Oryzias latipes: one gene and its partners. The protein of the gene in region 1 purifies or fractionates together with the protein of each later gene. This does not show direct contact. Links are inferred from orthologs where the notes say so. Each region holds a gene or a part of one and is shown in the gene's direction. Other genes may lie near its edges.

Region 1 (4,240 bases):
TAATAAAGGAACAAAATAGTTGTCTGAGATGTTTAGTAGACACCTAGAATAAGTGTATATTAGTTATCTAGTAGACATCTTGGTGGGAAATTAGTCTAATTGCACAGAAAAAACCCACAGAGGTTACCATGTAAAGAAGAAAAGTAGGTACCCTGTCCAGATGATGAAGTCTGGGTCTGGAAGAATGCTCTTCATGGCATACACAGAGGAATTGATCAGGTGCCATGGTGAGTCACAAACATAGTCTCCAAATCTACCGGCGCTCAAAGCAGGCCGTTTGCCGCTAGAGGCGCACACCAGCTCCGGTTGATCTGTCACTTCATAAGTTGGGTCCCAGTGCAAATCTGTGATATGCCAAAAGCTTCCTGGAAAAGATCAGCACATAGGCGAAGTAAGTAAATGTCACAAAATCATCTATAACACGCTGGTTACACAAGGCTCTACTTACCAGTGAGAGCAAGAGCTCCTTTGAAAAGCAGACAAGATAAGAAAAAGCTTGTTGCTGTCATGTTTGAGTGTCTGAGAACAGCTGTGCTGGAAAAGACAGGCAAGGGTCTATAAAGGAAGGGCAGAGCGGGCCAACACAACCTTCTTACCAAGGCACTGACATGCTTGTGTGGATCATAATAACTAAACCTTGTTTTATGACACAATATTATTAGTTTTTACGAGAACGCTTAAGATAAGAAGCACTTTTGACAGATTAAATCATTACAAAATAGCTCTCTTTGTCCATCAGAAACTACAAAATGACACTTTTATCATTTGATTCTCCATGGCAAGTCAGAACTAAAGCTTTCAACAGAAAATTGTTTTTCTTCAAATTAAATAAAAGTTTAGAAGTTCATACTAATACAGGGTGTTACTGATTAGCCTATGTTTATTGAGCTGCGGATTTGGAGGCTGAGAAAAATATTACACAATCCTATCACCTTTACTGTTGTTATTTAAACTAAAGACACACAAAAGCAAAAGGCTACCTTAAAAAGCAATTCAAATTTTAGACCATACGATCACACACAAAATACCTTTCACGTTTTATTTTTTTATATTTGTAATTTTTGAGATTTTGATAAGTTATAGTATTTACGCATGCACCAGTGCTCATTACAACTAGAAAACCTTTTTTTTTAAATTGAAAGGAACAAAGATCATCATGTTCCACCTCTTTGCGATAGCGTCATAATTTGCTTGTTATTTCCCGAAATATTTCTATCAGGTGTAGATTTTCTTAGTAAACAAGGATTATTAGATCTTTTAAAATAATACAATCATTATGAAATAAAAACAATGTTAGAGTTTAAGAAAAAAACGGTGGAAATTCCCCATTAATTGGAATGTTTACTCCAAAACCGTGGCAAATGCCTGACAGTCAAAAATCAGGGCCAGTACATTATCTATATACCTCTCGCGATGAAACGTTTCGCGGGAATTATCCCACGCGCATGCGTCTTACATTGAGTTTGGCGCGCGGGAATCAGGTCGTTAAGCAAGTTGGTTGCTCGATTTCACCCCGTCACTAAATTATCTTTGCATTTTAAGAATTACTTACGAAGTGTCAGCATGTGGAATCAAGGTAAATGTCGTATCCAAGTTGTTTGTTTGCCTTTACATCGTTCACACTGGCATGTTTGTGTTGTTTGGTACAGCTAACGTTAGCTTTACTTAACACTCAAGTCAAGTGGCTTCTTTGTTTATTTCTTACAAGTGTAATAGTTTGTTGTCAAATGTGTCTTCCATTAACATTGTAAATATGCCGAAAAGGGAGTTTGCTTCACTTGCTTTCAATTTCTGTGTTGAAACTTTAGGAGGCTACAGTGAGTCGGGAATGGTTGGGGGTTACACGCAGTCTCCTGGAGGCTTTGCATCGCCTGGCTTGTCCCAAGGAGAGAAGAAAGGGGTGAGAAATGACAATGCCGACAGAGTGATGGTGCCTTTCAAAACTTACACCGGTAGTTAAAAGTGATCCATATTAAAGCTTGAACATCTTTAATTCCACATTGTCCCTTTGACCTAACATAAACCGTTTTTATATTATTATTGCACTTGTCTTGTATGCTTGAGTGTTGTTTTAAGCACATAACGGTAACGCTAGTAAAAACTGAAATCCTTCTGTCTGTTTGTTCATCACCAGAGGACCCGTTCCACTCAAATTATACCCTGCACAGTGTCTCAGTTGATGTCTGCATCTCAGGCTGATGAAGCCTTTAAAGTGGGAGAAGTGGAGGTTAACCAGGTAACCTAAAATGCAAAAGAGTATGTCTACTGTAAAGTATTAGATATCATATAATTTTGATTTTACTCTCTCTCTTTAAAAAGATAAAAAAAACACAGACCTATGTATATATTTAATAACGATGGAAGGGAAGGGGACCAAGTCACAGTAAAACAAAGTCTCAATAATTACGGTAATAATTAGTTAATTGGAGCTAAAAAAAAAATCAATGAGTCCAAAAATAATGCCTTATCAATTGGGAAATAATAGATTTAGCTTTTTTCCTAATATATTTGTAAGCTTTTTGTTGGAAACAAAAGCATCAGTAAGTTATGGACTTTTACCTTTCTTTGCTATGTGGCAGATCTTTACAAAAAACACAATAATAATGATAAAATAAAATAGAAAATCTGGAACAAGTAATCTTTTGTTTGGCAAGCTGTTTGACATTTATTGAGCAAATATGCATCAAAGTACTTCCATCTTAAATTACCTTAACTTAGCATCTACATGAAAGCAAAAACATGAATGATTTATTTCATAGCTAGAAGTAAAGTCAGGCATCATAGGGTTAAAGAATGTTTTTTTTTTTTATTAATTAATTTTTTTAAATTAATATTTAACAATATTTTATAACCACGATTGTAAAACTTCAACGTATTCTGCTACACACATGTAGAACTTCTCCTTTCGACTGGTGTTTAAATAATTGATCCAAACTTAAGTCTTGGAAGCAGCAGTAAAATATCTGTTCGGAACAAGAGAGACCAACTCCAGATCCTTTATTTTGAAAAATCAAGACAGGTTTCTGTCTTAAATTTAGTGTTTACTAATGCATAACACTTGGCAACAAACAAACAAAAAACAACAAAAATGTACTTTCATATTGTTTTTATTGCCTTTTTACACATCTCTGTCATAGGTCACCATTGTTGGCATCATCAGAAGCACGGACAAATCCATGACCTACATCCAGTACAGGGTTGATGACATGACAGGTGCTCCTATGGATGTGAAGCAGTGGGTGGATACAGAGGTCAGTTGGTGACAACCCCTTGCTAAATATGATTCATAAGAGACACAGTCTGCAGACCATTGTTGTTTATAAACAACATTTGATCAAATCTACATCTTTATTATCATTGTTGATGCTGTCATTGCTGGTTTCATTAAAATATATATTTTAACATTTATTTCAGTTAACTTCCGGTTTCTAGAAAATAATTTCTCTGATTGGGTTTTATTTTGTAGGATCCGAGTGTGGACAGCACTGTTTTGCCTCCAGGAACATATGTCAAAGTCTCTGGAAACCTACGCTCTTTTCAAGTAAGTGTATTACAGGGCCTGCCAACTTTTATTTTTATCTTATTTTCTTCATGCGGCCCTAACACTGTAAACAAAGGGCCACGCTTTAGGGCCACACAAATTGGAAACTTTTGTCTTTTATCAGTTATTGCATGAATTAACTTAAAAAATGGTTGTCACTGATTTGCCAGTTCTTTATTTAGCTAAAAGGTGCTTTCGTCCCAAAAAATGAAGGTTTAGGCTTTTGTCACCTCTTTCCTGAGCTAAGTGTAGGTTCTTACAGCAGCTGCAAACTTTTTTTAAAGAGCCTCATTTCCTTAGTTTAACACCTATAGCCTCCAAACTTGTTAAAGAGCTTTATTTGCTTTTTTAAACACCTATAACCTGTCTTAAGGTCATTTGTGATTGTTCATTGCTGCTGTTTCAGTTACTCATTTTTGAATTTAGCAGAAAATGTGTGTTTGCCTTCCTGTGTCAGAACCACAGGTCTATGGTGGCGTTCTGTATCAGACCCCTGGAGGACATGAATGAAATCACCTCACACATGCTGGAAGTTGTCCAAGCACACATGGCGCTCGGCAAACCGCAGAACACCGTAAGTAATTGAAACTTTTACTTCTGCAGTTCTCATCTCAAGTGAAAACCTCTGAGAATGAGGAACTGAATGTTGATGCGTGCGACCCAGAGAGTTTCGAGGTTTTCTCGTTGAATCCAGTAAAG
Region 2 (4,273 bases), on another chromosome or scaffold:
AGTCACTTACTTTCGAAACAGTATCACATTAATATTTATTGAAAACTGGCTATGTCAAATGTGGCTTTTATTTTATTTTTTTACAATTCCCGAACAACTTTATAAACCAACAAAATATAAACAACAGCGTATCTATGAGTATCTTTGATTTATTATTTTGAGTCAATCACTGCAATGAAATAATTTTACGATTAGACCTCTGCACCTGTACACAGGTATTTGGGTCTTGTAGTGGTTTGAGTGAAAGACTCCAACTGATTCAGGTTTCACTACAGAGGGGAGCACCAGAATTTTGTTAGTTTTATTTGATTTTTTTAATTTAAAATGGGTTATTTCAAGCAATCAAATAAGAATAGTACACAAAAACAATACAATCATCAGTTATAGATTCATACAATGACGAATTAAACTTAGGAGAATTAGACATATTAATAAATATTGCTTGAAAGGGAGTGGAAGGAAGGGAACTTATATAATCCCACACCTGTTCTACCGTAACCATGATTTATCAACATCCGGTTCATAAATTTTATCAGACAGAATTCAGAATCCTTAGGTATCAATAAAGCACATGACAAAAATGAATTACTTAAACTATCATGTACAAATAACAATTTTAGAAATCAACATGGCAAAAGCAGATCATTTATCCAAAATATATGCAGATTATGTTACTTATTAAAGTCATTTATATGATTAAAAAAATAATACTATATCAGTAAAATAGACATAACACTGTTTCAAAAATCATCATAACAATAATTTTATAAATTTTATAAAAATCCAAACCCCCACTCAACAACACTCATAACAAAACAACAAAATTAATGATAATTAATTTCTCAAGTGAAAGTAACAGTTAAAATATGTGCAAAATTATGTTACATAAGAAAAATCATGAGTCAATTTTTTTTATTTTAGTTAATTTTAAAAGCAAATTCTTAATCAAATAATACATAAATAATTACTACCTCTCAACCTACAGGTAGTCTAAATAAAAGTACTATTGAATTTTAACTACACATTTTTGCAATGGGTCTTTTTGTAGTGAGAAATATTTCAATTTGCTTTGAAACTATAGCAGTTTTGTAAAATTTGAATTATTCTACATTAGTCATAATTAAGCTTTTTTATTTGATTTATAGTTCAGTAAAATGACAAAATAACACACAACCTTTAAAATAACAATTATGGGTGGAATTTTATGTATTTTAAAATGCAGAATTTTACAAAGAGACATTTTAAAGCAAAATTAAATATCTTTTGGTTCAAAAAAAGTTATACATGTTTATTTTGTTTGTTTATGTTTAATAATTTATCAAGAATTGAAATTAAATTAAATGTATTTATGCGCTGAACGGAGGGCAGTGTGACGCCATATTGTTTTCAGATGAGTGGGCGTGTTGTGATTCCAGTGACGTCTACAATTTTGTACCAAGTGATTGGTTCACAGGTTTGGCGCCACAATTCTAACCGGAACATTTCCTACTCCACTGTGAGAGCGCAGAGCTTGACAGCTAACAAAAACAAATCCCCGTCAAATACATTTTATGTTGGTTTTAACGCTCTGGTGTAATCTGGAACTTTTATATTTGATATTGCAACATGTTTATCACAGATATTAAAAAGGATTTTTATGAAGTTGTTGCCAACCAAGTAAGTTTTTAGGTCTAATTTTGTGAATTTGTTTGCTAGCAAGCTAATATATGAAGTATTGTAGTGTTCAAGTACAAGCGCTCGGTTCAGTTGTACATTTGAGACATTAACATCTCGTCATAATATCGTATGTCTGAACTTTAGAGAGTTGCACTTCTGGTTGCTGGGGACATCGACGCTCTTTGTGCCTGTAAAATCCTGCAGGTAAGAAGATAAGCCAACTTAAGAAACTACTCTGTTTAACTTTTATCCTCAGAAAAGCGGTTATTTGCGGTAGTTTTGTAAACACTCTTTAAATATTTGAGTAATTAAATATTCTGAGTTTTACAGAGCCGTATAGATAGACGCAGAATTCAACCAACCTACACATCTGAAGCAATTTAATATAAGTCCTAAAATTGTAATTTTGACTTGATCAATATTTGAAAATTAATTGCAAGTTAATGTATGTAAAAACAAATGCGATTTTTACAAATAAATTGATATTTATAGTTGTATTTCTGCCTTTTTATTGCTTTATGTTTAGGAAAAATGCTTTTAAACTTTATTTAATTAAGTGTATTGTTACTGTTATAAACTGCATGTTAGTTATACATTATAGATTGATTATATATACATGTTGGAACGTCAGACATGCCTGTTTAAGAGCAATATGGTTTGTTTTTCTATTTAGTCAGTTATTTTACATGGATTTAAACTACCTTTTTAGTCTCTAAAAGAAGACATTCGGTGCTGATAAAATATTTGTTTTCAAATCAGTGATGAAAGTCTTCCGGGAATTCCCGGAAATCCGGGTTTTTGAGCAAACCGAACGTACTTTCCGGGAAATAAAGACCTGATCTCTACGGACAAATCGCTTTCCGGATGAAAAAATGGTCTGTAATCGGCAAATTTTAGCTTTATTTTCTATATTTTTCCGCGGATCGCTTCCTCTATGGGCGCGGCCATCTCTCGTCTTCCCGGCCTATTGACCAATGACGGGACGTTTTAGTTGCTTTCGGATGCGTCGACGGGTCTGATTGGCTCTGTCTGCACCACGTGGTCAGCGTGACTTGCTTCCCTAGAGACCAAAACCGGCGGACCGACGCTAAACTTTCACAAACACATCTGAAGAGTTTGTGATCAAATTTGTGTTAAAATAATGGCGGGCATCGTCATTATTGAGCGTGGTCACGACCTCAGTTGTGAGAAGACGATAAAAAACAAATTGAAGTGGTCTTGGCTGGAAGAAAAATATTTTTAAGGTCAAATGCTTTTTGTGTAAAATAATCTCAAAACCAAATTCAGAAATAATTTCTCTTTTAGTTTTGAGTTTCAGTTTTTATTTTGAATACATTTCTCTATCTAATTTATTTGTATTTCCTAATTACCATGATTTAGTTCAGTATAATTGACATTAATTATAAGTATTTGGTGGTTTGGACCCAGACTCCCTTAAAAAATAATGTTTACAATGTTTAGCTTAGTTTGTATGTTTGTTTTGATATTTCCCAGATTACTTAGTATTGGTGTTAAAGAATTGATGTATTATGTTATAGAATTATAGTTTAAAGCAGATCCCATATTTTGATGTAATTATAGTTTGAGAAAACAGTGCAAGTGGATGTTGTACATCAGTCATTTCTAAAGCAGAAATAATGTACAAATAAATGAGGTATTTTCATAGAATATCATAGTTACTGGTGTTCTTTTTGCCATTTGGGGCTTTGATGTTACTATATTTTAGCAATTGTATCTTTTGCAGATTTTAGGAAAAGCTTAGATTGTAGGATTGTTATACTATGAGCAATGATCCAAATTCTTTTTTAGGACCAGCAAGTCCTTAATGTTAAGTCAAACTAGGGGTTTGAATGACAAATCATGATGCTCCTATTAGTCTTAGTTTCTTGATTAAGAAGTGAATAACGAGCTGCCAGAATGCACCAGAATGCATCTAAGACTATGTATTTTTCAAAAATTTCTCTCTGCGCCGCCATATCGCTCAAAGAAAAGTTCAGGGATTTTTTCCTTGCCTGACTTTCATCACTGTCAAATCTAATTTAATTCTTTGTTTTGGAAGTGTTGGAAAAATGGCTGATTTTCCTATTTGCTTTTATTTCTAGGCGTTGTTTCACTGTGACCACATCCAGTATACACTTGTTCCAGTGACAGGCTGGCAGGAACTTGGCACAGCCTTCCTTGAACACAAAGAGCAGGTAAACTTATTTTTAAAAAAAGTGTCACTCCTATGTTTGACTTGAAGTTGATAATGTTAAAAAAAAAATCTTTCCTTAATGATTATTTTGATTTTGTTTTAGTTTCGTTATTTTGTTCTCATCAACTGTGGGGCAAATGTTGACCTGCTGGAAATGCTGCAGCCCGATGATGACTCCATCTTCTTCATCTGTGATACTCATCGGCCTGTTGATGTTGTCAATGTTTACAATGACACCCAGGTGATGCATCATGATCTGCTTTTTTCACGTTTAGGAGTAGTAAACTCTTGAACAACAAATAAAACACAAACTCTTCAGCTATTTTCTGATTCAGAACATCTTGTTTATCAATGAGCTTTTTTTGTTCTTACTTTTGCTGCAAATATGAAAACCACGTGGAAACCACTTCTGTTCATTTCCCC
Region 3 (3,937 bases), on another chromosome or scaffold:
TTGTCAACCTCACATTAAAATGAAAATCAGTTGTGAGTGTGTATTGTGTGTGCAGCTGTGTGCAGGCACGGAGACAAGGAGGGTCAAAGGAGAGAAGCCGTGCCTAATCCTCTGGGATGTGAGGGTATCTTACTGTGAATGGAGATGGGATGTAGAGATGTGCTCAGTGGAGCATGGATCACAAAATCTTCCTAACTGACAGAAGAGGCACTCAAGGGACCAATGTTAAAACTGCTCAAATAAAATAAAACAAAATAAAAAGAGAGAAACTGCATGGCAAAAAGAAAAAAACGGAGAGAAATGTAACCGTGGTGCACACTACATCGAGCCATTAAAATCTACTCATGAGCCTATTGTGTTTTTGGACAAACACACTTGAATATTATGGACAGATTGGCTACAAGTAAGCAAACATAGAAACTATTTTAAACAAATCTGAAATCTTTTTAGATCTTTTCAAAAGCAGCTGGAGTTTTTAAATCTTAAAACTGAGTTGGGATTGTTACACTGATGTGCTGTCACTCCACCAAATTAAGGACATTTTCGTAACTCTTAGCAAATAATAGTGGACTTGAAGGTTTTTTTAATTAAGTTTACTTGAGTATAAGTATGAGTATAGTAAGTCTTCTATATACCCTGCACTTACAGTGTACTAATTGTAAATAATTAAACACTTCTCCAGACTAAATCGGAACATTTAGTGTCTTTCAGGAACATTTTAAGTTTACAATATATACCCTAGATTGTATTTAAAAATGTAACTATAATATACTGACTAACTTGTAGAATAGACCATGGGTACTTGTAGTAAACTTAATTTCACTACTTAATGTAAAAACATTTTTTCATTCTTTATTTATTTGTGTAGTAGTGCATTGTCAAAGTGGATGGTGAAGTTGAACTTGGGTTATGAAAGTTGCTTTTAATTTTTCCTCATAAATTAATATCCTTATTTCAGCATTCAATTATCTATTATGACACACTAGTGGTACATACTTTATGACATAATTATCTCATTTTATGTTTAAACAAAACAAGACACAAGAGCGCTCCAAAACAAACGACTTGTGTTGTACAAATTCAATCGACAGGTGGCGCTTTTGTTTTATTTAAAGCTAATTCACCCGGAAACAGTTTGTGAGGACCCTCAACGTGACCGGAAGTGTCATTTACCGAAACTGACAGTTAGCTAACATGTCTGTGGATGTGAAAACAAGATCCAAACGGTATGAGAAACTGGACTTTCTCGGAGAGGGTCAGGTAGGACAGAAACTGTTATGGTAATTTAAAACCTGTTTTTTTTTATTTAAAGCCGTATTGGTATTGTATATCTGCCGAGACAAAGCTCTTAAGCTAACTAGCATTAGCCAATGCCTAATGTCAACAAAGCAACCTGGCCATGCTGCTATTTAAACACAATTAGACCATTTAAAAAATAATAATACTTTCACTTTATCAGCAACAATGACAAAACAAACAAAGAAAAAAGACTGGGAAACTAAACATTATGTTCTTTGTTCCTTCTTTAGTTCGCCACTGTGTACAAAGCCAGAGATAAATTGACTGACACAATAGTTGCCATTAAAAAGGTACGGGCTCTTCCTGGTGATTGTACTTTTTAAATGGTCTATTATGGGTTGTTGTTTATCAACAAACTAGTATCTTTTGTTTGTTTACTTTTCAGATTAAAGTAGGCCACAGAACTGAGGCTAAAGATGGTAAGTGCAGCCTTTCTGCACGTCGTTACTGACAAAGCTGGTGTTGTTTTTTCAACTGTTTGTGCTTCTTTTTACCTATATAGGTATAAATCGAACTGCTCTCCGAGAGATCAAATTGCTGCAGGAGCTGCATCATTCAAATATCATCGGGGTATTGAACTGAATTTGCTCCTGTTAACATACAGACACAATTACAATTTAGAGGAACTGTACTGTCTATTAGTCATGTTACTAAAAACATTTGAATGGCAGCTTATGTTATTGCTTAGTTGTGAATAAACATTTTGTCTAATGCTAACTGTGCTTTTTATTTCCCTTTCTTGTAGCTGCTGGATGCATTTGGGCATAAATCAAACATTAGTCTGGTGTTTGATTTCATGGAAACAGATCTAGAGGTGAGAATGTGTCTATATCCACTTCCTTTCAAGCAATCTTTTATTTACTGTCTAATTATCCTAAGTTTAATACATCTTTTTATGAATGTAAAACTGCTGGTTGTATTGTTTTGTGCATTATTTTTTCTTTGATTGCTTGAAATAAACTATTTCAAATCAAAATCAAAGATATATTCTTATATTTGTCTTCCTTTTCATCTTCATATTTTACCCATTTCTGATGTGTTAGGGTCTAAGATGGGGGGGGGGGCATATCCCTCTGCCTTTCACTCACATTGAGCTTTTTCCATTAGCTGCTTACATTAGCGAAGCAGGAAGGGTGGAAACTGTGAGACATATCTTATATCAACCTAGGAAAACCTTGAATATTTGAGTCATATTTAACATGATTACTTCAGGTAATATGAGTTGATTGAGATAACAGCCTTTGCTTCTCAACATTCGACAAAGGGAAAACATACGGGCCCTGCTGTGTTGATCTTTAAGTCAAATCTTAGCTGATTTGCATGTGTCTCCTTTGTCATTTTATTTATTATACTTTTTAAGAAATCTAAATACATTTTCAGTATGGCTTACAGTTATTAAAATTGTTTTTTCTTCTTCTTTTAATAACAATTTTAATAACTTCTAAAATAAGTTATTAAATGTTAATAGATGGTGATTACTTGGGAGCAAACAGGAAGGTTCTTTCTAACTGCCTTTTTATTTTAATAACAGGTTGTCATTAAAGACACCAGCCTGGTGCTGACTCCAGCCAACATCAAAGCCTACATCCTTATGACTCTACAGGGATTAGAATACATGCACCAGCACTGGATTCTACATAGGGTTAGTGCACTTGTATTTCATACACTACTTTTCATACTTTCATACTGTTCATGGTATGCATGCTTTTGTAATGTTTGGTTTTTCTGTTTATTCTAAGTAATTTATTAATTCTGTTTGCAGGATCTGAAACCCAATAATTTGCTGTTAGACGGTAGCGGAGTCTTGAAGTTGGCAGATTTTGGTTTGGCCAAAGCTTTTGGGAGCCCTAACAGAGTCTACACACATCAAGTTGTTACCAGGTCTGTGCAAACTAAGAACCTGTTAAGAATTTTTAGCTTTTGCTTTACTTTTTACCTTTTGAGCGGAGAGAGTTGCTGTCATCAGCTACACAGCAGAGTTCAATTCGATTCAATTTTATTCATATAGCCCTAAATCACAACAACAGTCGTCTCAATGCGCTTCAGAGTGACGACCGACTTGTAAAGGAAGTCTGCAGAGAAATGTATTCTGCGGAAATATAGACAACAAAAAGGTGACAAAATACTTGCATAAGAAATTTTGTCTGTGTTCTTTTCTTTTGCTCTTTAATAGCAATTTAGAAAAGCAAGACCAAAGCTGCCTGAATATTGTTCATATCTCAATGTTTACGTTTAAAAAAAAAGATTTTAAGAATAAATTGTTTTCATTCAGAAAAATGATAAAATATAAGTAGGTTTAATGTTAAAATGTGTTATTTAATAGTAAATAATGTGTTCAAAAGCTTTACTTTCAAAGAAAATATGGAGTTAACCTCTGTGGCGGTTCCAAATGACTCTTGCCTTGGGCTTTAAAGCTGCTTTTGGGAAAAGTTTCCTGTGTTACAAATGTATTTATTGAGGTTTTTTCACATGTGAGATGGTTCTCAGCTTCTGACTTCCAGCATTAGGTCAATCACACATTAACTTCATCAAATGTTCCTCTGGATTTATTTAAGACACTTTTGTCATTTTGAGATCATTTTCTCAAATTATTATTTATAAAATGAAATTAAATGAAAAATGAATAATCTTTTTTTTA
Region 4 (4,288 bases), on another chromosome or scaffold:
CGAGCAGTCGTGCGTATACGTGGAGCTGCTCCATTGATCTGTGCGGCCGGAATGGAGCGCAGTGTAAACAAAGCCGCTCGTCGTCTGAAGGCACCCGGAGAAGCTGGCGCAGAGGGCCAGGGAGGGGGGGCTTGTATGGATAGGAAAGTGTGTCGCCAAGTTGCGGTGTGTCCTGCGCCTCTGCCCGCCCACAGAACCCGAACTCACCGTTCCTGATCCCGGTGCTGCTCCCTGTAACATGAAACGATCCTGAAGAGCGGAGAGGAAAGCGCCTGTTGTTGGCTCATTAGCTCATCCACCACAGATCCCACGTGGTCGGAGCAGCCTTGCAGGCATCGGGTCGCGGGTGGAAGAAGGATCCTACCTGGGACGCCGCAGGCTCATTCAGGAGGCTGGTGGTGGAGTGGCAGCTCGCTCCGTCGCTCCTCCCTCGTTCTCTGGCTTTGGCTCGTCCCCGCTTTGTTTTGACGTGATGCAAAAGATAATCTGGACGCGTGGACGCGCTTTGTGGTTACAGCTGCGTGCATGAAAGGGAAATTATAAAATGTTTGGAAGAGGAACAAACACAACTTTTTAAGGCATCGCATCACACGGAGCGTGTGTGACGAGGAAAGCGAGTCTCACTGATGACCTGAGCGCAAAAATGCGTAAAATGCGCCACGTTGCCCGGGATTACACTATAGTTTCCCCCAAAACGGCATAAATATTAAACCATCAGATAATTTAGTATAAACTCATTGACCAGATGCGAAAATTGGCGCAAGATGTTTGTATTTTAACTGAACGAAAAACAAATAAACGTGTTTAAACGGCAAATTGAGACATAAACTAGAATATGACCTGATTAAAAAAAAAGATGTATAAATGTAGGACAAAAGAAAAAATATCAAAGCAGGAACAATTCTGCAAAATGATGAAAAAACACCAAAACCCACAAAAAACAAGAAAAAAGGGCATAAAATCGTAAAATGTTTATACAATTTGTGTAAGTTTAGTCATTTATCTCCAAAGATGAAAAAAGGCCAAACGAGAAAATCAAAACAAATATGATACCGAAATAAAAAAAATAGGAACAAAAATCCGAAAGATTTTTCAAGGAAAAAAAATAGAAAGGGAGATGACGGTTTTTCCCGTAAATAATGTAGACTTCAATATCAGCATTCTGTTTTTCTGATGGTCTGTTGGAGATCTTAGGAAGATTTCCGAAATGAAATTAGACAAATAAAACGAATCAAAATGTATGTTATTACTATTATTATTACTATTATTATTACTACTATTATTATTATTATTATCATCATCATCATCGGGGGGTGGTGGGGTGGGCTGTTTTTTTGTTTTTATGTTTGTTTGTTTTCACAAACCTTATAAGTACAAAAGGCACAAAAAGTACAAAAGGTTAAACATTTACTATGGTTTAAGATTAGAACAGTTTGTGAGCAATTTTTGCTTCACTTTTTAAAAATCATATGTAAAAAATACTAATAATAGACTGTAATGTTGTTACGTTTTAGGCTATTTCAGGTATATCTCGTTAATGCAAGTATCTACCCAAAAAAAGACTGAAAACAGATAGTTGCGATGAAGTTAAATGCATTCTTTTCACTATCTAACATGGGTAGTTTAAACATAAGTAATATTGAATGCGTTCCATGTGTGCTTATATCAGTTGAAGTGACTAAAGATCACTTTGAAGAATACATGTTAAACTGATGCCAATAGTTGAATTTCCGTTTACCCTGATGGCATCATTTCATCCTCTTCCGGTTCTCTAAGCGGGAGGTTCAAATCCTCGTAGTGTAAATGCTAACTATTCAGGTTCGTTTTTAACACGGAAAACACATTTTAAATAAGGTGAGTTGTGTCTAAGAGCATTTATTGTAGAATTTTATCTCCTAATAATGGAATATTAGCGAGCGTGCTAAAGCTAGCTTGATCTCCTTGTGTTTTTTGGCTAGCTTTCTGCGTCACTTTTTGCATGATTGGGTGAATTGAGATGACATTTGAAGTACTAGCTGCATGCAAGTTTGTGTTTCAGGCTAGCCATAATGTCGGCTGAGGAAAGGGGCTTCCCTGCACCCACAAAGTTCGGACAGGTTAGTCGATTTACAAACGTACAACTACAACGCCATGATACGATTGAGTAGATGTGCGCATGCTCCACTCACTTAGCTAGAAAATTGGATGCTCCTATTCTCACATCATCCCCATCACTGTAAGGATGCATGCAAGATAAGTGGAACCACCATCTCCTTTAATGTGTTTATATAGATTCATTAAGTGCAAAATAAAATCCTCAAGGCTGTAATAAATAACGTGTAACTTGTTTGTTTACCTTTTCTTCTGTGGCGTGTTATACTGTTCTGCACCCACCCAGTGCACCTACACAGCAGAGGAGTACCAGGCTGTCCACAATGCCTTGCGACAGAAACTGGGACCAGAGTACATCAGTACCAGAATGGCAGGAGGAGGCCAGAAGGCAATTATAGCAAACATATGTTCATTTTTTGCCCAAATTATTCTCTATCTAAACACTTATTCCTAATTGTTTTTGGTTTTTTTTCACCAGGTGTGTTACATTGAAGGACACCGTGTCATTGGCCTGGCCAACGAGATGTTTGGGTACAATGGATGGTCTCACTCCATTTCCCAGCAGAATGTCGGTACGAGAAGCTCAACTCCAAAGCGTTCAGTTCAATTCCGCAAAGCAGATTAACAGTCAGAGGTTTTGCTTCCAGACTTTGTAGACCTTGTCAATGGGAGGTTTTACGTGGGAGTCAGCGCCTTTGTCAAAGTGCAGCTGAAGGTTTGGCGTTGTCATTTGTTTGAATCTGCACCTATAATCCCACAGTGAATGATTTAAAGTACTGTCTAACAAATCTCCTGCCTCTAGGATGGGTCGTTTCATGAGGACGTGGGATATGGAGTTAGTGAGGGCCTGAAATCTAAAGCTCTGTCTCTGGAAAAAGCCAGGAAAGAGGCGGTCACTGACGGCATGAAGAGAGCACTGAAGTCAATAATTCACACAGCAGTATTTATTACTTCATAAATCAATTAGATTAATCCACTATTTGACATAAATATCTGCTTTTTTTTTGTTCAGATGTTTTGGTAATGCCCTCGGAAACTGCATCCTCGATAAAGAATATCTTCTTGCCATTAATAAGATCCCCAGACAGGTCAGACTCAACATATGAAGTAAATTCTCCTTTAGTCTGGATTATTGTCTTCCATTTATGGTTCTAAGATTTTCATTTTCTGTACAAAGCCTCCAGCACCTTTGGACCCAGCAAAGACTAAGCGTTCTGAAGGCGAACCGTCAATCGAGAAGGCCCGGTTCAGCAGTCTTGGCCGAGAGGAGAAACTACTATGTGCAGCGGGTTCTTCCAGGATGCCACTAGAACCCAGAGTATTGAACCAGAATCAGTCTGAACTTCACACACCGAGTGCTGCCAGCTCTGTTCCCAACGTAAAGAGTGAGGATGTCAGCTCCAGGTAAAAAGTAAAAGCTGCTTTGAGACCCTAGCTTCCCATACAAATTCACATCACCTTCTCTCACTGTCCTTCTTTGAAGATCTTTTGGGTCAGAGGTGCACACAGACCCTAAACACTTACGAAAACTCAGACAGCAGGAACTTCAGCAGAAGTTCAAGAAGGAGATGGAGGCCAAGAAGCTCCAGCAGAACCTGGATCAAGTCAAGACAGAGGAGTCTCCGGCACCTGGTGAACGGCGATCCTCTGGAGGTAAAGGTTTGGAGAGGAACAAGTATGGAGGCAACCTGAAATTTCTATTCCATTCAATTACAGTAGAAAAATTCCCACTCCGATTATCTCTTGATCTATATCAAAGTGTTCCCAGTGATTTTGATTATGCTGTTTTTAGCCTTAGAAAAAAAAAACATGTCATTTTTAATGAGACAGATCAGCAGTAGTTCACTGAGTTGTGGATGGACTGTTGGCATGGGGTAACCCCGGCCCCTTTCCCATCATCCACCTGTTTTCATGCTCATTATCTATCAAGCCGTACATTTGTGCCAGGTGCCCGCTCGGACATCTAGTCGTCTACAAGTGGATGCATTAGAACAGGGGTGGGCAATTCCAGGCCTCGAGGGCTGGTGTGTCTGCATGATTTCTAGATAGTCTTGCTCTACTCATGGCTGATTACCTGGTTCAGGTGTGTCCAGCCAATCAGAACATGCCAGAGCAGGGTATGCTGGAAAACATGCAGGAATGCGGCCCTCAGTGCCCACCCCTGCATTAGAATGAAGCAGAGCTTGTGGCTGTACAA
Region 5 (3,130 bases), on another chromosome or scaffold:
TCACTGTAAAGCCGTTGACCTCAATTCATGTGTCTGCCTCCTCCCTGAACTCACGTTGACCTTTTTCTCTGGTTGGTATGCAGCTTTTATGTTGACATTATGGCCACTTCCCCTTGTTCTTCCAGAGGCAATTGTCTGTCTGCCACATCACATACGTTCCCCTTCATGTAGCGGCGGAGACAGTTTGTCCAAAATAGTTCAAGTCCCCCTGAACTCAACTTCCCTCTGTTGGGTCAGAACAAACAGGACTTTTTGATCATCAACTTTCATCTGATGACGGTTCTGTGGGGCTTTTTGTTTGTTTTTGACAGCTCTGTTACTACATCAGACATGGTTTATTATCTCTTTCAAAACAGCACCAATCTGAAACTCATTACAGATGGGGGCACAGATTTGTGCTTTCGTTTGGCGTCTGATTTGAGCTTTTTTCCAGATAATTTTACAGATTGTGCTTTCAGATAAGCAAGCAGCAGTGCTGCTGAAACTCCCCCACTTTAATGAGGTACAGCCATGACTACATTTACCGTAAGAATGGACAAACCGTGCGGTCATGTGACACGTTGGAAGCAGGATTTTTTAGCTTGGCCATCATATGTGACGCCATCAAACCCTGAGCTTCACCAAAATAGGTAAATATGTGGGAATGCGGTTGGACTGAGCGATCAAAAGACTTCACCCGTGTTTTAGAGACCAAGCAGAGAGGCAGGAGAGCACAGAGTAGAACACAGACGTGTTTGATGCAAGTTTGGGTTTATTTTACCCCCCCCCCCCCCCCCCCAAAAAAAAGCTGAATTTTAACGCAAGGCCTGGAAACTAGGTGAACATGTCTTACACTAAACTGATCAGAGACACAAAAGATTTTAATCAAACCATCAGAAACATAAAGGGGTAAACAAGAACAACTAAACCCTAAAGAAAACAAATCAAAACACTCCACACACTTCAGACCTGCAGATACAGTGGAGTGCAAAAAGAAGAACCGTGCTTTCTGTAACTAAATCATCTTCATGAGAATGCACCATTTCATGCTGCAAGGAATGCCTCTGCATCATTGGCTGCATAAAAGGAGAGAAACTGATGGTGTGGCCCCCATCCTCCCTCGGCCCTCAACCCTATTGAGAACCTTTGGAGCATCCTCAAGCAAAAGATCTACGAGGGTGGGAAGCAGTTCACATCCAAACAGCAGCTCTATGAGGCTATTCTGACATCCTGCAAAGAAATTCAAGAAGAAACTCTCCAAAAACTCACAAGTTCAATGGATGCAAGAATTGTGGAGCTGCTACAAAATAAGGGGTCCTATGTTCAAATCTAACTTGACCTATTGAGGTGTTTTCGATTGGAATAGTTTTTGATTTCAGTAAATATGACCTCCTAATGCAGCAAACTCAACAAATGACTGATTTCAGTTCTTTAGAAGCTCTAAAATGTTGGGAAACTCTGTTGTGTGAAATAATGTGGAACACTGACTTTAAAAGTTTTTTTAAATATTATCTTTAGGAGGTTTGTTCAATAACATTCATTATATCTTCTGATGGTTAGTGACATCAAAACTGTGCTGACTGTCAGTTGGATTGAATATTTAGAAAAATCATAGAAAACTATCATTTGCATAATGATTTGGAGCACGCTGCAAGAAGTGGCACAAGCACTATGAGTCTAAACATGATATCAACAGGAAATCTGCACTGACTCAATGCGGTCCTGCACACTTGCATTTTGAATCAAAACCAAATTCTGTGTTTTCAGTTTTCTTTATGATTTCCTTCCTGTCTTTGGTATTTGTCAAAGTTTGCTCTTGTTCTGTCCCTTAAGAAGCGACTATAATTGAAGTCAGGTGAGGTTTAGCGGCTCTGATGTTTTACCTGTCCTGCTCTTTCAGATGGTGGATTCAATAGGTTAGAAGATGGAAGAAGGAAAGTGATGGGGGACTCGAACAAACCCCCCACCGCCAAGAAACCTCGCCACTGTGGCAACTGCCACATGCCGGGACACACCCGGGTCACCTGTCCACAGCGGTGACCTCTCTAGTAATACTACTTTAGCGTGTTTTACATCTCAATCAGAGGTCCACCACCAAACCTTCTGAAGATGACCGCCTCTGATCTGGATGGAAGCACACGGCGTCTGGCAAAACTGAACCGCAAGCGCCTGAAACCTGCCGATTAAACTCTGTAGATCCTGGAGGAAAAGCTGGAGAGATGCAGCTGCACTTTGCAAGACGAGGTGTTGAACTATTTAAAAAAAAAAGTCTTGTAGGAGTTTGTAACCACAGTAACCTAGAAAGGATGTTCAGCATTTAATTTCAGATTTCCCCTCCTGGATCTAACAACAAGCTCACATCATCTGGTGAGGGTCGGGTGGAAGGAGGTGATGCTGCTGTAGAAACCGTGCTGCCTTCAGTGACTCCGAGAATTTCAATGCAGGACAAGAAGTTCCTTCCTAATTATTGTTGTTATAGATGAATAAACGAACTTTAGATTATTTTTACCTTCAAGTGTCTTAAAACGTAATTGGAAATTTGACAGTTGTTAGGATTGTTGATGAAAACACACCTTAGCGGAAAGACGACAGGATTTTATTTCATGTTTCTGCAACAGACTTTTAATGCAATAAACCTGAAAGTTCTCCAGGTTTAGTTTCCTTTTCTATTCATGAGGTCTTTGCTTTTGCTTTCCTGTTGAGTCCTGGTTTAATGGGGGATCAGCAGAATAGTTTTGGTTTCAATTTATGACTCAGTTTCGTTTATTTTCATGTTGAGTCCTGTGTTTGAGGTGAAAATCCCCAAACTCAACGGTTGGCCTTCATCATTTCACTGGTGGCTTGACCTTGAGGAGGAGGCAGGAGGCTCCGGGCTGGTCCCCGGTGGATCAGGAAAGACCGATCCTTGGTTGAAAACAGTGGTTGGCGAGCTCGGTCAGAAACTCTTTTCTTCAGAACCCCCCCCCCCCCCCCCCCCCCCCCCCCCCCAAACATGCGTTAAATGTAAACGTCAGAAGTGCGGAGCAGAAACGCAGATTCCCGGTAAAAGGGGTTGAAGTAGCTCCTGCGTCTGCGCGCGCCTCGCATTTCCTGAGAAGCGCGCGTGTTTCTGGCACGTTCGGTGAGTCATGCGTGACTCATAAGTTGTGGG
Region 6 (4,299 bases), on another chromosome or scaffold:
AAATAAAGTTTAATAGAAAAAAAAGAACCAGTGCAGCTTTTAATTGGTTGATCTTTGTTTTTCTTATTAAATAATCAAAACACCAATGAATTTTCACTAAAACGGTCTAAGCCTCCCCATGATAACAACAACAAAGCTTTGAAAAACGAAAAAGTGAAAATACTGCAAAAAAAAAGTATGAGCAGGGATCATTTCACCGAACTGATTTCACTTAACTAAGTTACTACTCAACAGATCGATAAGTTGGTTTCTTTACAAGTGGAAGAGAAAGGAAGTCCCAACAAAGTGACAGTAAAAGTGATCCAATAACTCATATAAACTATAGAGCTCACCTGTGTTGTGCCAACAAGTATCTGCAGGTCGTAATTTGAATTTCTGCTCTGTCTGTCTGGGTAAATCCTCAAACGTTCTCCAGTGGCTTACTTACTTTGAATCCGACTATAAATCCAGATTTGAGCCGGAGATTTCGCGAAGACTTCCACGTTCGTCAAGAGAAACGGCGGTTTCTCAGACACGGTGGACTTTTGTCGTTTTTTCTCTCCCGGCACTCTGTGCTTCGTTCGGTCCAAGGAGGAACCTGGTGGAGAGAAGAGGAAGCGGAACCTCGCACAAACATGAGGATTCGGGACCTAGCGGCACCCGTAGCGCTCACATTTAATCAAAATTAAAAATGTAAATACTTTTCCCTGAATTTAGCTAAATGCAATGCATATGAAACTCGCGCAGAGAAAGATATAATCAATATAATTCCAAACAACATCGGTGAAAGAACGATTACGAAGAACTAAAGTGTATCTTCAAACAGATATGCACTGCGCATGTGTGTTGACCTCAACGGAACCAACAAGTTGGATTCTTTAGATTTTCAAAACAAAATATCCAACATGAATAATTGAGGGTCGTTGTTTTTTATCATTAAGAGCTCAAAAATACACCTAAAAAACACACAATAATAGCTCACAGTATATATAATCTGAATTATAATTTCATAAAATGTTGAATTTGTTGTCTTTATGTTGCACAAGCTTTACATTTTTGTGCAAATATTTCTATATCTACCATATCAAATCATGATAAATCTCTCTTTGTGTATGAAAAATATAACTATGTTATAACTATGAACTATGAAATATAACTGATGAAGTACACTGATGAAGTATACCTTCAGGAGCCCGGTGTACTGTTTTTATAAAATAAATTAAATAGTGATAATAATGTAATGCAGATACAATCTTCATTTTTGATAATTATGGAAAAAAACAAAAATAAAACCATACTAAAAATGACATTGTAATGCAAAGACAGGATAAATGACGACTGCTGCCAGTGCATCCACATAAAAGATTGATAACATACTGCACTTACCAAAACTTTTATTATCAACTTCAGAATTAAATTCTTATATTATACAAAGTTCTACATCAAGCAGCTATAACAAACAAATAAAAAAATAAAAATAACACCAAAAAGCATGTCATTGGGTTTTATTTTGAAAGTTAACAACGGAAGGATTATTCTAGGCGCAGATGTGTTTCATTTGAAAGTGCTGTGAACATTGTGTCGCAGTTGATAGCAGGATACTTGCAGGGAAACCGTACAAAAACTATCAACACTGAAGGAAGATCGAAAGTAAGGCCTCGTTATTATATGCTGATATTTATTACATTCTGTGTTCTTCCGTTAGCACGAGAACAAACGGCGCGTGCTAGCTTAGTAACACTTACCTACTTTACTTTCCATAAGAATGGCTGTGTTTCGTTTTCTCGAAAACTGTAGTTGAAACGAAAATTAAACTACAAAGTAGTATGAAGCTTCTATACATCTCACCTCCAACATGAGAGCTAGCAGAAAGTTAATTTAAGTTGTGCACCGCTGCCTGCAACTGTTAGTTTCCACAGAACCATCATTTTTTTTAAATAAAAAAAAACTTTATTAACAAATATTGCACATACAGAATATCACACATTACAATCCATACTAGTATGTGCAAATGCCAAAAGTTTCACATTTGCCAGGAAAATTATCAAAAATGTCAAAAAAGCCATTATAATAGCAAGATAAAACAGATTAAAAAATAAAATAGGTAAAGGATTCTGCTAAAGTCTCAAATGTGACCATGTTTCAACTGTTCTAGAAGCTTTTTGGTTAGTGCAGGATTCAATACTATTTACATACAGAATAATTTATTTCTGAAAAATATAAAATAAATACTGCCTTATTTTGTTACAGAACTCTTCATCTTTGCCGTCTTTTTTTGTCTGCAGGTATGCTTTCCCACAGGTGGAGGTCTGGATGGGGCAGGTTCGTTGACGTGGACCTCTTCACAGACAGCCATGAGACTTTGTCCCAGGCCATCAGAGCTGCAGCGTCCGAAGAGCCGGCGGATGCTGACGGCAGCGTGCTGTTCGGCCACCTGAGGGGTTCTGTGGTGGGCCTCAGATATTACACAGGCGTGGTAAGGGTCAGACTGTCTCTTCCACACACACACATAAAAAATACTCCTACATTTCAGAGGGTTTCTTCTCTGGACAGGTGAACCAGGGTGAGATGGTGGGCTTGGTGCGAGAACCTCATAACCCATACGACTGCAATGCAGTGATGGTTGCAAACGTTTATGGCAACCAGGTGGGACACATCAAGAGGGAACTGGCTGCAGCCATGGCCCATGTCATGGACAACAACCTGGCTAAAGTGGAGGGGTGAGTGTCATGGTGCGGTCACTGTGTCGCTTAGGTTTTCTCCTCATACGTTCAGAGCTTTCCATAAAATTTGGAAAAGTTTTTAAAGACCCACTCTGATGAAAGTTGTGTGTTGGGGAGTTTTTTAACATGTCCTTTTGGTATTTTTTTTGATGATGGAGGACATCAATAAAGAAAATTAGGCTTAAATTAGGCATTTCTCAATATTAAATAGAAAAAATATGAAAAGGTGCCATTTGAAGAAGCTTGTAGCTGTGATGTGGAACCTATTTACTGCATTCTGATGCATCCACCTGCAGAGTAACAGATCCATGTACGTCTTTGTTTTCCTCATCCGAGCTGACGTCTCCCTCCAAACTGTACGACTGTATCCCCTTTTTGTCGCACTGGTAATGGTTGGGGGTGTTGGGAGACATAAGGTAGCAGGAGAGAGTGTAAACAGTGGGATGATGGGAAATGAGGGTGGGCTTACTCCACGCCAATGGTTCCACCGACAACTCGTAGGGGAATTTCTGATAAACAAAGTTTTTTTGAATTTGGCTAAAAACAGCATAATCATAATTAAAAGACCACTAGAAACCCTTTGAAAGCAGATCAAAATGGGTCTTTAAAGGTTGTAACAACAGGAATTGATGCCTTTTCTGGTTATTTGCCAGTTTTTTCTGTCTCGGCATAACTTTGCCGTAAAATGGATAAACAGAATTGCAAATCTCGTTTTATTCTAATTTGTAAATGTCTCATTAGTAGAACATTATAAAATCATGATTTTGTTTTGTTTTTCAATAATTCATTCTTAAAGCAAGAAGAGTTAAATTTTAGTTTTTTTTTTAAATTTTAAGATTTGATGTTGTTGTTTTTTTTTTTACCGTATTCTTTCTCCTTCTGTTTTTTTCTTATCATGTATACGTTATTACATTTTCTTTTGATGTACTTTTATCCAATAATTGGAGGAAAAAAAGTCACAATACTGCAATTAACGTCAGAATTTTCTTTGCCCTTTTTTTTTCTTTCTCTATGGCCCTAATCCTTTTCTGTAATTTTAGACCAAATAAGAAATTGTGAAATTGAAAATATAAAAGTATATTGCTTTTCAGTTCTGAAAGACATCCTATAACATTAGGGTTCTTGTTGAACACCAAACGTTAGTTGTGATTGTTCATTTATTTAATGTATATTAGGTTTTTTGTCGTTTTGTTTTTAAATTGACTTTTAGATGAAAACAGAACATAAATGAGTTGATATGAGCGCCGCTGCCTGTGTGGTTGTCAGGGTCGTACCTTACGGAAAAAACAACTCGTTCACCATGCCGGTCATTTTGTCCTTTTGGGGGAAAGAAGAGAACAAAAATGCAGTCCTGGAAAACATGGAACGGCGAGGATTCAAACTGAACTCAGACGGAAACAAATTAGCAGGTATGCCTGAGTCTTTCAGGAACGTCTGTGGATGCTCCAGACACGTCTGGTTTTACTATTATTTGCTTCCTTTCAGGTCAGAAAACCAACAGCATTTCAGGCGCTCGTGCTTTTTCATCCAAAAAAGGAGTGACTGTCCCACTAACTGCAGAGGAGGTAACTGGATTTAACGACATGAAATGTTTGTT
Region 7 (2,348 bases), about 17 Mb from region 1:
TGACACAGAACATGAACCGTGTGTGATTATTGGGCTGTGATTTGTGCGTCAGTTACGTAATTTGAATGCGAAACGTACGCCGTATACGGGAGATAAAAGTTATACATCGGTGGTTCATGCGTTAAAAGTCTGTTAGACATAGCCACAAATTTGTGTATCCCAAAAACCACACACAATTGCATAAGATTTACATAACAATTGCGGATAAACTACGTAAAACATGCATAACCTGCATAATTCTCAATAGACTAAAAGTCCGGAAATCATGTAAAGATCCTAAACCCTCGACAGACATCTGAGCACATCGACAGATAACTAACACAAGAAACACTTTTGAATTCCGTAAATCACGCAAGACTAAAATTTCATACGTGGAAAATGTACACAGTGGCTGAGTGACGTCACGTAGCCTTAAGATAACATTTCCTAAATGAGAGAAAGCACATAACTGACAACCTAAACCAATAAACTGAGGTTTTCATGTGTGCTAATAAATATTAATGTTATTGTTGAGTTTCTCCAAATCCACTGATGTCTTTTTGCTCGGCCAGAAAAGGCAGTTCCTTCTATCCCACAGGTCCAGAGAATGATAGAAGAGGCCTGGAAAGCAGGTGTGGATCCACAAGGAGCATCCCACTTCAACCACCGCCTGCAGGGAACACGGGCCTGGATCGGGGCCACAGAGATCTACGTGTTGCTCACCTGGCTGGGTGTCAGGTGGGACGGCAGCTCTTGCTCCATGTGTAGGCAATGAATTGTTGCTCATGAGCATCATCGCGGTGTTTACCTCCAGAGCACGCATCATTGACTTCCACCAGCCTACGGGCCCCGGGGACACCCATCCCCGGCTGTTTGACTGGGTCAGACAGTACTTCCTTCAGTCCAGCCAGAGCAACAGACTGCCCCCCAAGGTCATCCGAACCAGCCTGCCCCCACTTTACCTTCAGCACCAAGGTAAATGGATGGGGGAGTGTGTTCCAGCAGAGGCTTATTTACATAAAAAAAACTCCTTTGAAAATTTGTCACCACATTTGGTAATTCAGTTGTGAAGTCATGGTTGCCATGGTAACAGTGTTGTTCATACCTTTTATTTTAGCGTCTTTTTCCTCTGAACACCAGAGATGTTTGATGTTCACCAGAGCTCTTACACTTTAGGGTGGGGGCTTTATGCCCATATTGGGTAATTACAGCTGTTGGCTGGAGATCAGAACAACTCTGACTGTGGAATTCCTGTCAGCACGTCTGCTGCCGTGTGAAAAGTTAGTTGTCTACAGGTCAGGCTGTCTTCGTCTTTTGCTCGCGGTTGCCATCGGTGATCGCAAGAGATGCCGTCGTGGTTTCTCGAATTAATTGAGGAGTTTCGGTGTGTCCACTTTGGTGCTATATTTGGGTTAATTTGTCTGATTAGTGGTTCCATCCCTTCAGCTTCCTGCTCTGTCTGCAGGTCACAGCCGCTTGGTTGTCGGCGTGGAGCAGAGGAAAAGCGGCGCCCTGGCCCTTCTCGTTATGGATCCCGGATCGAAGCTGTCACTAAGCACTGATGCGGTTTCCGTGGCGATTCGCCACATCAGGAAGTTCCCCAGCAGCCTGAAGCACAAACAGTATCAGCTGCTGGCGGTGCAGGGGGTGCTGTCTGCAGAGGACAAACAGGTACGCTGGCAGCGCACATCCGCCATCACCTGTTTGATCCTGAAACTGCTCTGTCTCTGTCCAGGCTGCTGTCTTCAACTCCAGGACTCTCTGTGCAGAGAAGATCCCATGAGAGGCTCTCCAAGCATCTTTTTACTGATCACAGTCTTCATAATTTGGTTTTAGATGTTTTATAATAAATGCTTTCCATACAAAAGTGTCTGCTGTGTCATAAGGACCTTTAAAAGGATTTCCTTTTTTAACCCAAAAAATATCCGCAGTAAAGAGAAACTAAAAGACAAAAAAATTAAGTTTTATTTAGCAAACTTTGTTGCTCTAAAGACTATGTTCTAGCAGACAGACAAGGTTTTCAGGATTATAGATGAGCCGCATGTTTATCATGTAAAAAAAGTCAAATGCTTATAAATGTATCAAATTTCACAGTTTGCATCATTTCAGTAAGTTGCAATGAATAAATCCAAAAACTTTATTTCATAACTGTCAGACAACAAGAATAAATGCAACATGTTTTTACTCACACTTAGCAAAAACATAAACTTAACACTTTTGATTTTGCTCCAATTTGTCAAGAAATGAACTCAAAGATCTGAAACATTTTCTACAAACACAAAATAACCATTTTCCTCAAATATTGATCACAAATCTGTGACGGTGAGCACTTGTCCTTTGCTGACAAATTCCGGGTGTGGCATTAAAGA

The links.
Region 2: the proteins of rpa2 (region 1) and cdc45 purify together in Homo sapiens (affinity purification with western blotting; 3 studies listed by BioGRID and IntAct, with this or other methods). This does not show direct contact. The link is inferred for Oryzias latipes from reciprocal best matches to the Homo sapiens genes RPA2 and CDC45.
Region 3: the proteins of rpa2 (region 1) and cdk7 purify together in Homo sapiens (affinity purification with mass spectrometry; 3 studies listed by BioGRID and IntAct, with this or other methods). This does not show direct contact. The link is inferred for Oryzias latipes from reciprocal best matches to the Homo sapiens genes RPA2 and CDK7.
Region 4: the proteins of rpa2 (region 1) and rad52 purify together in Homo sapiens (affinity purification with western blotting; 3 studies listed by BioGRID and IntAct, with this or other methods). This does not show direct contact. The link is inferred for Oryzias latipes from reciprocal best matches to the Homo sapiens genes RPA2 and RAD52.
Region 5: the proteins of rpa2 (region 1) and top3a purify together in Homo sapiens (affinity purification with mass spectrometry; 4 studies listed by BioGRID and IntAct, with this or other methods). This does not show direct contact. The link is inferred for Oryzias latipes from reciprocal best matches to the Homo sapiens genes RPA2 and TOP3A.
Region 6: the proteins of rpa2 (region 1) and hltf purify together in Homo sapiens (affinity purification with mass spectrometry, with the first as the bait; 3 studies listed by BioGRID). This does not show direct contact. The link is inferred for Oryzias latipes from reciprocal best matches to the Homo sapiens genes RPA2 and HLTF.
Region 7: the proteins of rpa2 (region 1) and zufsp purify together in Homo sapiens (affinity purification with western blotting; 3 studies listed by BioGRID, with this or other methods). This does not show direct contact. The link is inferred for Oryzias latipes from reciprocal best matches to the Homo sapiens genes RPA2 and ZUP1.

What each region holds. Positions count from the first base shown.
Region 1 is NC_019874.2:22,815,095-22,819,334, reverse strand, and holds the start of rpa2 (replication protein A 32 kDa subunit), read left to right. Parts: upstream 1-1,440; 5' UTR 1,441-1,563; coding exon 1,564-1,576; intron 1,577-1,808; coding exon 1,809-1,900; intron 1,901-2,134; coding exon 2,135-2,236; intron 2,237-3,137; coding exon 3,138-3,251; intron 3,252-3,466; coding exon 3,467-3,541; intron 3,542-3,998; coding exon 3,999-4,115; intron 4,116-4,240. Other genes in the region: smpdl3b (acid sphingomyelinase-like phosphodiesterase 3b), read right to left, coding at 152-365, 449-509. UniProt on the Homo sapiens protein: As part of the heterotrimeric replication protein A complex (RPA/RP-A), binds and stabilizes single-stranded DNA intermediates that form during DNA replication or upon DNA stress.
Region 2 is NC_019867.2:6,361,976-6,366,248, reverse strand, and holds the start of cdc45 (cell division control protein 45 homolog), read left to right. Parts: upstream 1-1,473; 5' UTR 1,474-1,605; coding exon 1,606-1,656; intron 1,657-1,800; coding exon 1,801-1,860; intron 1,861-3,758; coding exon 3,759-3,851; intron 3,852-3,953; coding exon 3,954-4,091; intron 4,092-4,273. UniProt on the Homo sapiens protein: Required for initiation of chromosomal DNA replication. Core component of CDC45-MCM-GINS (CMG) helicase, the molecular machine that unwinds template DNA during replication, and around which the replisome is built.
Region 3 is NC_019867.2:13,787,388-13,791,324, forward strand, and holds the start of cdk7 (cyclin-dependent kinase 7), read left to right. Parts: upstream 1-1,137; 5' UTR 1,138-1,194; coding exon 1,195-1,260; intron 1,261-1,529; coding exon 1,530-1,589; intron 1,590-1,684; coding exon 1,685-1,718; intron 1,719-1,801; coding exon 1,802-1,869; intron 1,870-2,044; coding exon 2,045-2,113; intron 2,114-2,830; coding exon 2,831-2,941; intron 2,942-3,061; coding exon 3,062-3,180; intron 3,181-3,937. UniProt on the Homo sapiens protein: Serine/threonine kinase involved in cell cycle control and in RNA polymerase II-mediated RNA transcription. Cyclin-dependent kinases (CDKs) are activated by the binding to a cyclin and mediate the progression through the cell cycle.
Region 4 is NC_019864.2:21,084,115-21,088,402, reverse strand, and holds the start of rad52 (DNA repair protein RAD52 homolog), read left to right. Parts: upstream 1-1,488; 5' UTR 1,489-1,854; intron 1,855-1,867; exon of another isoform or gene 1,868-2,026; 5' UTR 2,027-2,048; coding exon 2,049-2,096; intron 2,097-2,377; coding exon 2,378-2,479; intron 2,480-2,569; coding exon 2,570-2,663; intron 2,664-2,738; coding exon 2,739-2,806; intron 2,807-2,893; coding exon 2,894-3,012; intron 3,013-3,103; coding exon 3,104-3,179; intron 3,180-3,268; coding exon 3,269-3,495; intron 3,496-3,574; coding exon 3,575-3,744; intron 3,745-4,288. Other genes in the region: proline-rich protein 5, read right to left, coding at 208-240. UniProt on the Homo sapiens protein: Involved in double-stranded break repair. Plays a central role in genetic recombination and DNA repair by promoting the annealing of complementary single-stranded DNA and by stimulation of the RAD51 recombinase.
Region 5 is NC_019866.2:19,331,472-19,334,601, forward strand, and holds the end of top3a (DNA topoisomerase 3-alpha), read left to right. Parts: intron 1-1,879; coding exon 1,880-2,019; 3' UTR 2,020-2,630; downstream 2,631-3,130. UniProt on the Homo sapiens protein: Releases the supercoiling and torsional tension of DNA introduced during the DNA replication and transcription by transiently cleaving and rejoining one strand of the DNA duplex.
Region 6 is NC_019880.2:5,878,504-5,882,802, reverse strand, and holds the start of hltf (helicase-like transcription factor), read left to right. Parts: upstream 1-1,499; 5' UTR 1,500-1,629; intron 1,630-2,264; 5' UTR 2,265-2,266; coding exon 2,267-2,455; intron 2,456-2,532; coding exon 2,533-2,699; intron 2,700-3,968; coding exon 3,969-4,111; intron 4,112-4,187; coding exon 4,188-4,267; intron 4,268-4,299. UniProt on the Homo sapiens protein: Has both helicase and E3 ubiquitin ligase activities. Possesses intrinsic ATP-dependent nucleosome-remodeling activity; This activity may be required for transcriptional activation or repression of specific target promoters.
Region 7 is NC_019874.2:5,464,977-5,467,324, reverse strand, and holds the end of zufsp (zinc finger with UFM1-specific peptidase domain protein), read left to right. Parts: intron 1-551; coding exon 552-717; intron 718-793; coding exon 794-954; intron 955-1,444; coding exon 1,445-1,650; intron 1,651-1,714; coding exon 1,715-1,762; 3' UTR 1,763-1,848; downstream 1,849-2,348. UniProt on the Homo sapiens protein: Deubiquitinase with endodeubiquitinase activity that specifically interacts with and cleaves 'Lys-63'-linked long polyubiquitin chains. Shows only weak activity against 'Lys-11' and 'Lys-48'-linked chains.